Linked DNA regions of Oryctolagus cuniculus. The protein of the gene in region 1 purifies or fractionates together with the protein of each later gene. This does not show direct contact. Links are inferred from orthologs where the notes say so. Each region holds a gene or a part of one and is shown in the gene's direction. Other genes may lie near its edges. The genes, in order: GTF2H5 and CDK7.

Evidence for each region.
Region 2: the proteins of GTF2H5 (region 1) and CDK7 purify together in Homo sapiens (affinity purification with mass spectrometry; 7 studies listed by BioGRID and IntAct, with this or other methods). This does not show direct contact. The link is inferred for Oryctolagus cuniculus from reciprocal best matches to the Homo sapiens genes GTF2H5 and CDK7.

Annotation. Positions count from the first base shown.
Region 1 is NC_091436.1:9,584,828-9,589,267, reverse strand, and holds the start of GTF2H5 (general transcription factor IIH subunit 5), read left to right. Parts: upstream 1-1,464; 5' UTR 1,465-1,607; intron 1,608-2,241; 5' UTR 2,242-2,279; coding exon 2,280-2,314; intron 2,315-4,440. UniProt on the Homo sapiens protein: Component of the general transcription and DNA repair factor IIH (TFIIH) core complex, which is involved in general and transcription-coupled nucleotide excision repair (NER) of damaged DNA and, when complexed to CAK, in RNA transcription by RNA polymerase II.
Region 2 is NC_091445.1:90,220,718-90,225,204, forward strand, and holds the start of CDK7 (cyclin-dependent kinase 7), read left to right. Parts: upstream 1-1,417; 5' UTR 1,418-4,093; coding exon 4,094-4,159; intron 4,160-4,456; coding exon 4,457-4,487. UniProt on the Homo sapiens protein: Serine/threonine kinase involved in cell cycle control and in RNA polymerase II-mediated RNA transcription. Cyclin-dependent kinases (CDKs) are activated by the binding to a cyclin and mediate the progression through the cell cycle.

The DNA of each region.
Region 1 (4,440 bases):
CGGTGTGCCGGTGCCGCAGGCGGAGGATTAGCCTAGTGAGCCGTGGCGCCGGCACCACCCTGTCTTAATGATTACGGTTTTATTTTATGCTTTGATACCTCGCAAAAAAGAACTTCAGCTTTTTTCTTCTTCAAGATTGACTTAGCTATTCTTGGTCCTTTGCCTTTTTATATAAATTTTGAAGTCTGGCATGTCGGGTTTCATGAGAACCCAATACAGTGATTTTAACTGGCATTGCACTGAATTTACAGCCCTGGGGAAAGCCGATTTCTATTTGGTATCGAGCCTTCTGATCATGAATATGATGTATCTCTCCGTCACTCAAGTCTTCCATGTGTTTCAATAAAGCATTATCATTTTCTCCCTAAAGGAACTAATGCTTTAGTTTCACTAACTTCCAGATAATGTTTAGTCTTGGAAGTTACGGATTATTTTACTATTATTAAAATTGCTAGTATTTTGCTGGTATCAGTTTTTTTTTTTTTTTTTTTTTTTTTTTTTTAATTCAGAAACCTACCTAAAGGCCATTTCTGACACTCTCCATGCAATCCCTACCGCGTCACCACCTGGCATTTTGTCCTTAACATTTTTGCGGCCCTCTGTACCTTCACCAATAGACCGCAAACGTCTAGAACACGGTTTGGCACCTATCAGGTGCACAACAGTGCTCGCTGATCCAGCGGATGCAGATTTTAAAACTGGGTGACTTGGAGAGACACGGGAAGGAAAAGCAGGTTTTTAACGGGAGGGGGCGGGCGGAGGATGAGCAGCTCCGTCTGAGCGGTGGAGTGCACGTTACAAACGGGTCCCCCGGCGCGGGCATCGGGCCAGCACCCCGAATCCCCGGCACACCGCCCACGCGGAGCGCAAGGCAGAGAGAGCCAAGGGCACTCGCCAGGAACGAGCGCCCCGGGACGCAAGGCACGTGAAGACTCGGGGATCGCAGCTGGACCACAAGAGCCCACGCGGGGAACGGGCAAAAATCCGCACGAACTTCACCCGGCAGGTGCAACTCAACGCAAGGCGCCCGCACCTCCTCAGAGCGCGCGCGCTCCCGGGCCGGGTCGGCACCGGCGGGATCTCCGCGGGCTCCCCCTCCGCCGTGACCGAGGCTCCACGCCCGGCTGCACGCGGGCAGCCCCGCGCGGCGCCCCCCGAGCTGGGCAGCCGACGCCAGAGGACACTCCGGCCCCCGAGGACCGGAGAGAGCCCCTCACGCCGCGCGACCTCGCTGGGGCGCCCCGTCACCGTGCTCCCACGCGCCGCCGCCCGCGTCCGCCCTCACGAGCCCGGCCCCCCAGTCCTCCTACCTGCCGGCTCGCGGACACGGCCCGCCCCCCGACCGCTCACCGGGAATCCCGGCGCCGGAGAGCCCACCCTCCCGGCGCGGCCTGCCCCCGGCCCTCCACTCGGCGGCGGCCGGCCTGTGGCCCCGCCCACGCGGCCCAGCGCGCGCCCCGCCTCCCAGCGGCGCGCTCCTCCCACAGAGCGTCCCCGGCGCGATGACGTCACAGGGCAGACGCGCGCGCGCGCTGCGGGGCATCTGGGGGCCGCCGGGTCTGTGGGCTGCGGTGCGTGGCGAGCTCGGGGCAAGCCGGCGGGGTGAGGTGCGTGGGAGACCGGGCGTTCCCGGAAAGAGAGGGAGGAGAAAGATCGGAAAGTCTGTCCTGCAGGTGCTGGGGCGCCAGAGTGCGCCCCGCTCTGACGCGGCGCTGGGTGTCCGTGCCCTGGGCCCCGGGGTAGCGGTTGGAGGGGTCAGGGGGCGCCCGCCGCGCCTGGAGCTCGGAGCGCGGAGCCTGGGGGACGCGGTTTACCCGGGGAGGGAGCCCGCAGTGTGGCTGTGTCCCCCCACCCCCGACCTCCCGGTCCGGTCCGGTCCGGGAAGAACGGCGGCTTAGGGTCCTCGCCCTGTCTCAGGTCCGAAATGAAGAGGCTGGGCGCCCTGTAGGTCTTGCGGCCCCCTCTCCCCCGCCCTCCGGGACCTTAGCCTTGTCAAGCCCCCGGGTGGGGAGCCGGAGTACCGGGGCGCGGCGCGGCTGTGGGGTTCGGCCGCAGGTGTATGTGTGCGTGGTGGACAGCTCCGGACAGACTCCGTTTTGTGAGAAGCTCAGAATGGCTGCATGTCTCCTTTGTGTTAGCTTCGTCTCTGATAGACTTCGCTGTTTATACTGACGGGGAGTGGCTTGCCTTGTTCCGGTCGATGCTGTTGAATGACATGTCCACCTTGTCCTTTTTTATTAGCTTGGTTGAGATCCTCTGCCCCTTCCGGCTGGACAAAGATGGTCAACGTCTTGAAAGGAGTGCTCATAGAATGGTTAGTAGTTTTGATACCTCATTTACGTATTGACTCAAACTCATCTGACCTTTTCTGAGGTCAAGTCCCTTTTTCGTTTTCTTTTCTAAGGCCGGAATGCAATCAAGTCTTTCCATTTTCTACACTTTCAAAAAGTGAAACGTTTTGTCGCTAAATTTCTTCCAGAGTGTGGGGGGGAGGGGACAGAATTCAGTGTCTCCGTTGCATTAGTGTAATTGGCATCATTTCCAGCGATTTTTGATCAGAATTGATCGGCCTAGTCCTGGAGGGAAAGGTTACTCGTAATCTCTTCCAGCCATCAGAAGGTGACAGAGTTACAAGGCCTGTAAGATGGCAGGAGCTCCGTTGCCTTCATTACAAACTGACCTTTAAGGAGAAAGACAGGGCCCGTTAGGGTTTCTTGAACTCCTTTGCACACATGCCAGAGAAACCGGAGACCATCCCGGCCAAGGTTGAATTTGGCAAAGCAGTGTAATCTAGAGGGCTCGGCGATTGCCCAGTCTCCAAAATCTGCACTCCAGAATCAGTCTTGCTCCTTGTCCACTTGCTGGCTCACCCACCAGTAGTTCTGTCCCATGAAGGAACTCTGGCCTGCGCACCTCTGTGTGCCCCTGAGATGGCCATCGCACAGATGCTGCTATGTATCCCGTGACGGTGAGCCAGCCTGGGGAAGGGGCGAGGACAACAGCCGTCAGATTCGAGCGGCACCCTCCAATAGGAACAGAATGCAAGCCACATATGTAATCTTGAATTTTTTAGTAGCCACTTCTGAAAGTAAAATTAAATGGGTAAAATGAACATTTTATTTAACCCCAACATATTGAAAATATTCTTTCAGCTTGTACTGAGTTTTCAAAATAACAACAACAACAACAAAACGAATGCATTTGAAAGGCAGAGTTACAGAGAGGCAGAAAGAGAGAGATCTTCCATCCACTGGTTCTCTCCCAAAATGACCGTATTGGCCTGAGCTGAGCCGACCTGAAGCCAGGAGCTTCTTCCAGGTCTTCCACCTGGGTGCAGGGGCCCAAGGACTTGGACCATCTTCCACTGCTTCCCCAGGCCATAGCAGAGAGCTGGATCGGAAGTGGAGCTGTCAGGATTCAAACTGGCACCCACAAGGGATGCCAGCACTGCAGGTGTGGCTTTACCCACTACACCACAGCACCAGCCCCAAAAAACAGTCTTTAAAGTCCGGTGTGTATTGTGCTTTTCCAACATATCTCACAGACCGGCCCTATTTCAGTTGCTCTAGTGAGTGTGACTTGTGGGCTGCCTTATGGTTAGTACAGATCTGGAGTTTCGGCATAGGTGACCCGGCAAAGAGTGCAGAAGCTAAGGGAGAAAATGTTGCACGGAGGTGAATGGGCTGTAAGCAGGAGTGGTGAAAGGTGGATGATGTGAAGACAGACTAGATGAGATGCAGTCGATCTTTGGTAAGAGCTGTTTCGGTGGCGTGGTGGGAAAGGTGCCAGATTGGAGTGTGTTTGTCCCCCGCTCCTCCCTGGAGAATACTCTTCCAGCCCCTCCGCGGATGCCTTCCACCGCAGGTGATACCCAACCGTAAATGTAATGCCTTCCCGTTCTTACCTAAGCACTTAGGATGCACTGTGGTGATAACTTGCAGTTTGAGATGGGAGAGTAAAAGTAACAGGAACTTCTTCTACCAACACGATTTCATGAGTGGAGGATTGACTCTCATCATAGGTCGAAGCAACACCACACTGTTTTTTTCCCTGTGCTTATTAAGTGGAGAATTTTCACCACTTCACTTGAAGAAAGCATTTTACAGCTTCTCTCTGCTTTACCCGATTTGCACACTCCCTGCTCTTGCATTTGGGACAATTACTGAGTAAAACCAGGGCGCCTCAGCACAGCAGTGCTCTGACAGCCGAGGTCGCTGAGAAGACTGAGGGGCGGGTAGCACATCCAGCAGGACCGAGCACGGCCGTGAGAGACTTCATCACACTGCTAAGAACAGTGCTTGTCTCTGGAGTTTCCCTTTTACTATGTTTGGACCACATTTGACTGCAGATAAACACAGAAACTGCGAGTAAGGGGAGACCACTGTGCTTCGAAAAGGGGAAATGAGGTGAGGAAGTCGAGACTCTCACAGGGGTTTTGTT
Region 2 (4,487 bases), on another chromosome or scaffold:
CAGTCATAAGGTTACTAAAGTATAACTGGCTTATTAATAAGTATATCCTACTCCAAATGATAAAAATATACCCAAGATAAAAACAGATGTCCATGGTATTAGAATGGGTAAATAAGACAAAAGATTATTTGTAACCTATATTCAGAAAAAATTTCAGAGTATGAAATAAGGATACGAATATAGGAATAATTTTCACTACAGATTGTAGTTTATTATATTCTGGGAGATAAAGTCATTGTTTGGTTTACCACTTTGTGATCATGTGTGCAAATCCTGGTAATCATTAACTTCCTCAAATTTATGTCTTAAAACCTCATATATTCACCTTAAATAATTTACTTTATTAAGGCAATTTATCAAACTTTAACAGGATCATCCTATGCCAACGGTATGTATATTATGAAAATAAAACCTCACAAAGCTAAATAAATTCTCTTCCATATCTTAATGATTTCCAGAACGTGCTTAAAGAAGTCATCCTGATAGTGAGGGTGGTAGCTCATGAGCGATAGACAGTAGAAGTGTTGAGTTCATGTTTCCTTTTTTTTTGGTAAGATTTATTTATTTTACTTGAAAGTCAGAACTAGAGGGAGACACACAGAGAGAGATCCTCCATCCGATGGTCCACTCCCCAAATGGCTGCAGTGGCTGTAGCTGAGCTGATCTGAAGTCAGGACCCAGGAGCTTCATCCAGGTCTCCCACGTGAGTGCAGGGGCCCAAGCATTGGGCCATCGTCTGCTGCTTTCCCAGGCGCACTAGCAAGGAGCTGAATGGGAAGTGGAGCAGCCAGGACTTGAACCAGCATTCCTTTGGGATGCCAACACTACAGATGTCACCCTAATCCGCTGCACCAGCCGGCCCCAGAATTCTTCACCCAGCTACCTGTGGGTTACTCTTACATCTGCTGCTCCAGTTCATCTGCTTCTCTTGTAAATTCTGTGTTGTAGTCCCATGTAAATGTTCCCCAACACAAACGAGAGATAGGAATTTGGGTTGGATGCTAGCAGTCTACTCATACTAGTCTTTTGCTCTTTCTTACTTTTCTCCCAAGAAGCCCAGGGCCATTTTTTGCTTCCAGAAAAGGGATTTCAGGTAATGGAGAGCGGTTAGAGTAATACTGTGGGTGCCATTAGAAACCCTAATTCTGGAATTAAGAATCTGAGGGCTGGCAGGCGCCGCGGCTCACTAGGCTACTCCTCCGCCTAGCGGCGCCGGCACACGAGGTTCTAGTCCCGGTTGGGGCGCCGGTTCTGTCCCGGTTGCCCCTCTTCCAGGCCAGCTCTCTGCTGTGGCCAGGGAGTGCAGTGGAGGATGGCCCAAGTGCTTGGGCCCTGCACCCGTGGCGGCCATTGGAGGCAAAGGAAGACCTTTCTCTCTGCCTCTCTCTCACTGTCCACTCTGCCTGTCAAAAAAAAAAAAAAAAAAAAGAATCTGAGGGCAGTCCTTACTACAGTTCTTGCCACGAAGATCAAAATGAAAAAAATCACTTGTATAATCTGGGGGGTGAACCAGCACATGGGAGACCTCTCTCTCTACCTCTCTTTCAAATAAATCTTTAGACAAAAATGTTTATTTTGATGAAAGAATTTTTTTTTATAATTCACAAGTATAGCTAGGCAAAAGCATGTCAGTGGGAATGGCTGTCACAGGATGAGCTCCAAGGACAGTGTTGTAGACAGAATTCTGGCAAGGCTGAGTCAGGACGTCTGTTTCCATTAGGGGTTAAGCACTCACACAAGGGTATTCCAGAAAGTTCAAAGAAAAATAGTTAAAAGATGTTTATTTTGGTGCCAGCGCTGTGGCATAGCAGGTTAAAGCTGCTGCCTGCAGTGCCGGCATCCCATATGGACACTAGTTCAAGTCCTAGCTGCTCCACTTTGATCCAGCTCCCTGCTAATGTGCCTGGGAGGGCGGCAGAGGATGGCCCAAGCGCTTGGGCCCCTGCACCCATGTGGAAGACCCTAGAAGAAGCTCCTGGCTCCTGGATTTGGATCTGCTCAGCTCTGGCCCACTGGTGGCTATTTGGGGGGTGAACCAGCACATGGAAGACCTCTCTCTCTACCTCTCTAACTCTTTCAAATAAATCTTTAGACAAAAATGTTTATTTTGATGAAAAGATTTTTTTTTTAATTCTGCATAGTTTTTTTTAATGATATCCATGAAATTTTTGAAGAATCTTTGTATAATTAACCATCAGCAAATTGGTTAATTTGTGTTTCAGTTTTCCTCTCTAGTATTCTACAGTATAGGATCAAATTAGAATATTATCTGTAACCTGAGAATTTAGTGGCTGGAAACAGTAAGCCCTTATGGCTCAGTTACTGGGGCTGCAGTCATCTGAAGGCTTGGCTGCAGCTGACAGTCCCATCTCCAGGGTAGACCACTCACGTGGCAAGTGATGCTGGCTGTTGTTGGCAGGAGTTCCTCTCCGTGTAGGAAGGCTGTGCGTGTGGACTGACACGACTGACTTTCCCTGTAGTAATGATGCAGGCGTGCAGGCAGCAATGGCTGCTCCCACTTCCACCGCTGTGCCGTGTTCCACTGGTACAGAACAGCTTGTCTCATTGTGGGAGGACGACACAAGGGCATCCATAGCAGAAGGCAAGGTCGTCATGGCCATCTTTGACTAATAACAGATCTATAAACTCCGTGAGGTGCAGCAAAAGCTCAATATTTACAGACCTCATTGCCAGGGTATCAGCTAACCCATCGTCAGCAGCACGGTACAAGGTATGGAGTATCAACTTGTAGGACATGGCACACTTGAGAACCTCAAGCCTCAAAGGTAAAACTATCGTATTTAGCTCATTAGCTCTACAAGGAGGTAAAATTACCAAAGTATGTCTTTCGGAAGGAACGCTGGCAGAAGTCACACGACAGCACGCCTCTCTAGGTAGGACTTGCCCCAAGAAAAGTGGTAAATCCGGTGCACTTCCTGCAATGTACAAATCTTGCCTAGAGCCAGGTAGTGACAAAGCACCGAAAAAGAACAGTAATGGCTATCGTCAACCAAGACCTAGCTGCCGGAAATAAACTAGGTACGCGTAGTAGGTGGTTTGGCCCGGTCCTCCATCTCGTGATTGCATACTGGCGGGCAGGTATTCCGCTACAGGCGGTCTGATGCCGGAGCTAATGCTGACTTGCTGTATTACACGAACTGCACTGTTTTTGGCCTTGGCATCCTGCCATCTTCAACACGTCTCTGAAATCGGGATTTCGGCTCTCAGAAGCGTCAGATGCAATGGAGGAAACATTTCCGTGGTGCAGGCTGCTCCACTCAGATCTTGGAATCATTCTTTCCCCCTCCAACCCGTATCCAGCCTGTCCGTAAATGCTATTGGGTAGAAAGCAAGCAGAGTCATCTGGATTGTTGCACTAATTTTCTAACAGGGTCCTCTTTCTAAAAAATACTTAAAATCACTCTTCATCTGTGAAGCAGAACGGGCAAGCCCGTCTGCTGGTTCACTCCCCAGATCTCAATGGCAGCGGCCAGGCCAGAGCCACCAGCTGGAATGCAACCTCGCTGGTAGGAACTCAAGTACCCGAGCCATCTCCGCTCAGGCGAGTGGGATTCTGCCTCCCTAGGCCTGCTCCTCCCTAAGGGGAGTGCACCTGCTCCCGACTCGGCCTCAGAACGCGGCAGAGGTCGCGGGTTCTGGCGTCCACAGCAACCGTGACGCCGGAAAGCCTAGAGCAGCAACCAGCACGCGGTCACAAACTATCCGCACACGCACAGCCCTAGAAAATTCCGAACGCGGAACACATCAGGACGCCCACTCGTCCCCGACTGCGAGGACAACACCCAAATTGAAGCGATAAAACAGCAACACAGCGGCTGCCCAAAGGGCCGCACTTCCGGCATCCGCGGCGGTCACGTGACGGGCGCGACCCCGGCCCTGAGCGGCTTTGGTCCGGACGGGCTTTGCCCGGACTCTTTTAACAGCTGCTCCGCCCACCCCGGAAGTAGGGGCGGAGCCTCAAGCGTCGGAGCCCAGTGAGCGGAAGGGGCTGTTGGAGGCTTTAAGGCAGCTTTAAATTCCAGCTGTCTGGGGCGCCTGCCTCTTTTGGCTGGAGTCGGACTTCGGTTCCCGGATGGCTGTGGACGTGAAGTCTCGAGCTAAGCGTTATGAGAAACTGGACTTCCTCGGGGAGGGCCAGGTGAGGCTCTCGGGCGGGATGGAGAGCAGCGCGCGCACAGCCTTGCAGGGTTTTCCATGGACGCCCGAGGGCCTTGGCCGCTCGCTCTCCGTGGGGAGGCCGCCCGGACACAGCTGCCGCCCCGTTTTGTGCCCTGGAGGTTGGACCCCCACCCGGGAGCCCCCCGCTGCTTCCCGGCGGAGCGCGCTGGAGAGGGACGGGGCTGCCGAGCGCGGTGCAGGCCGCGGGGCCCGCGGGCTCCCCGCTGGCGCGAGCAGCAAGCGCCCGGGACTCAGTTCTCCCTGTTTCTCTTTCCAGTTTGCCACAGTTTACAAGGCCAGAGATAAGA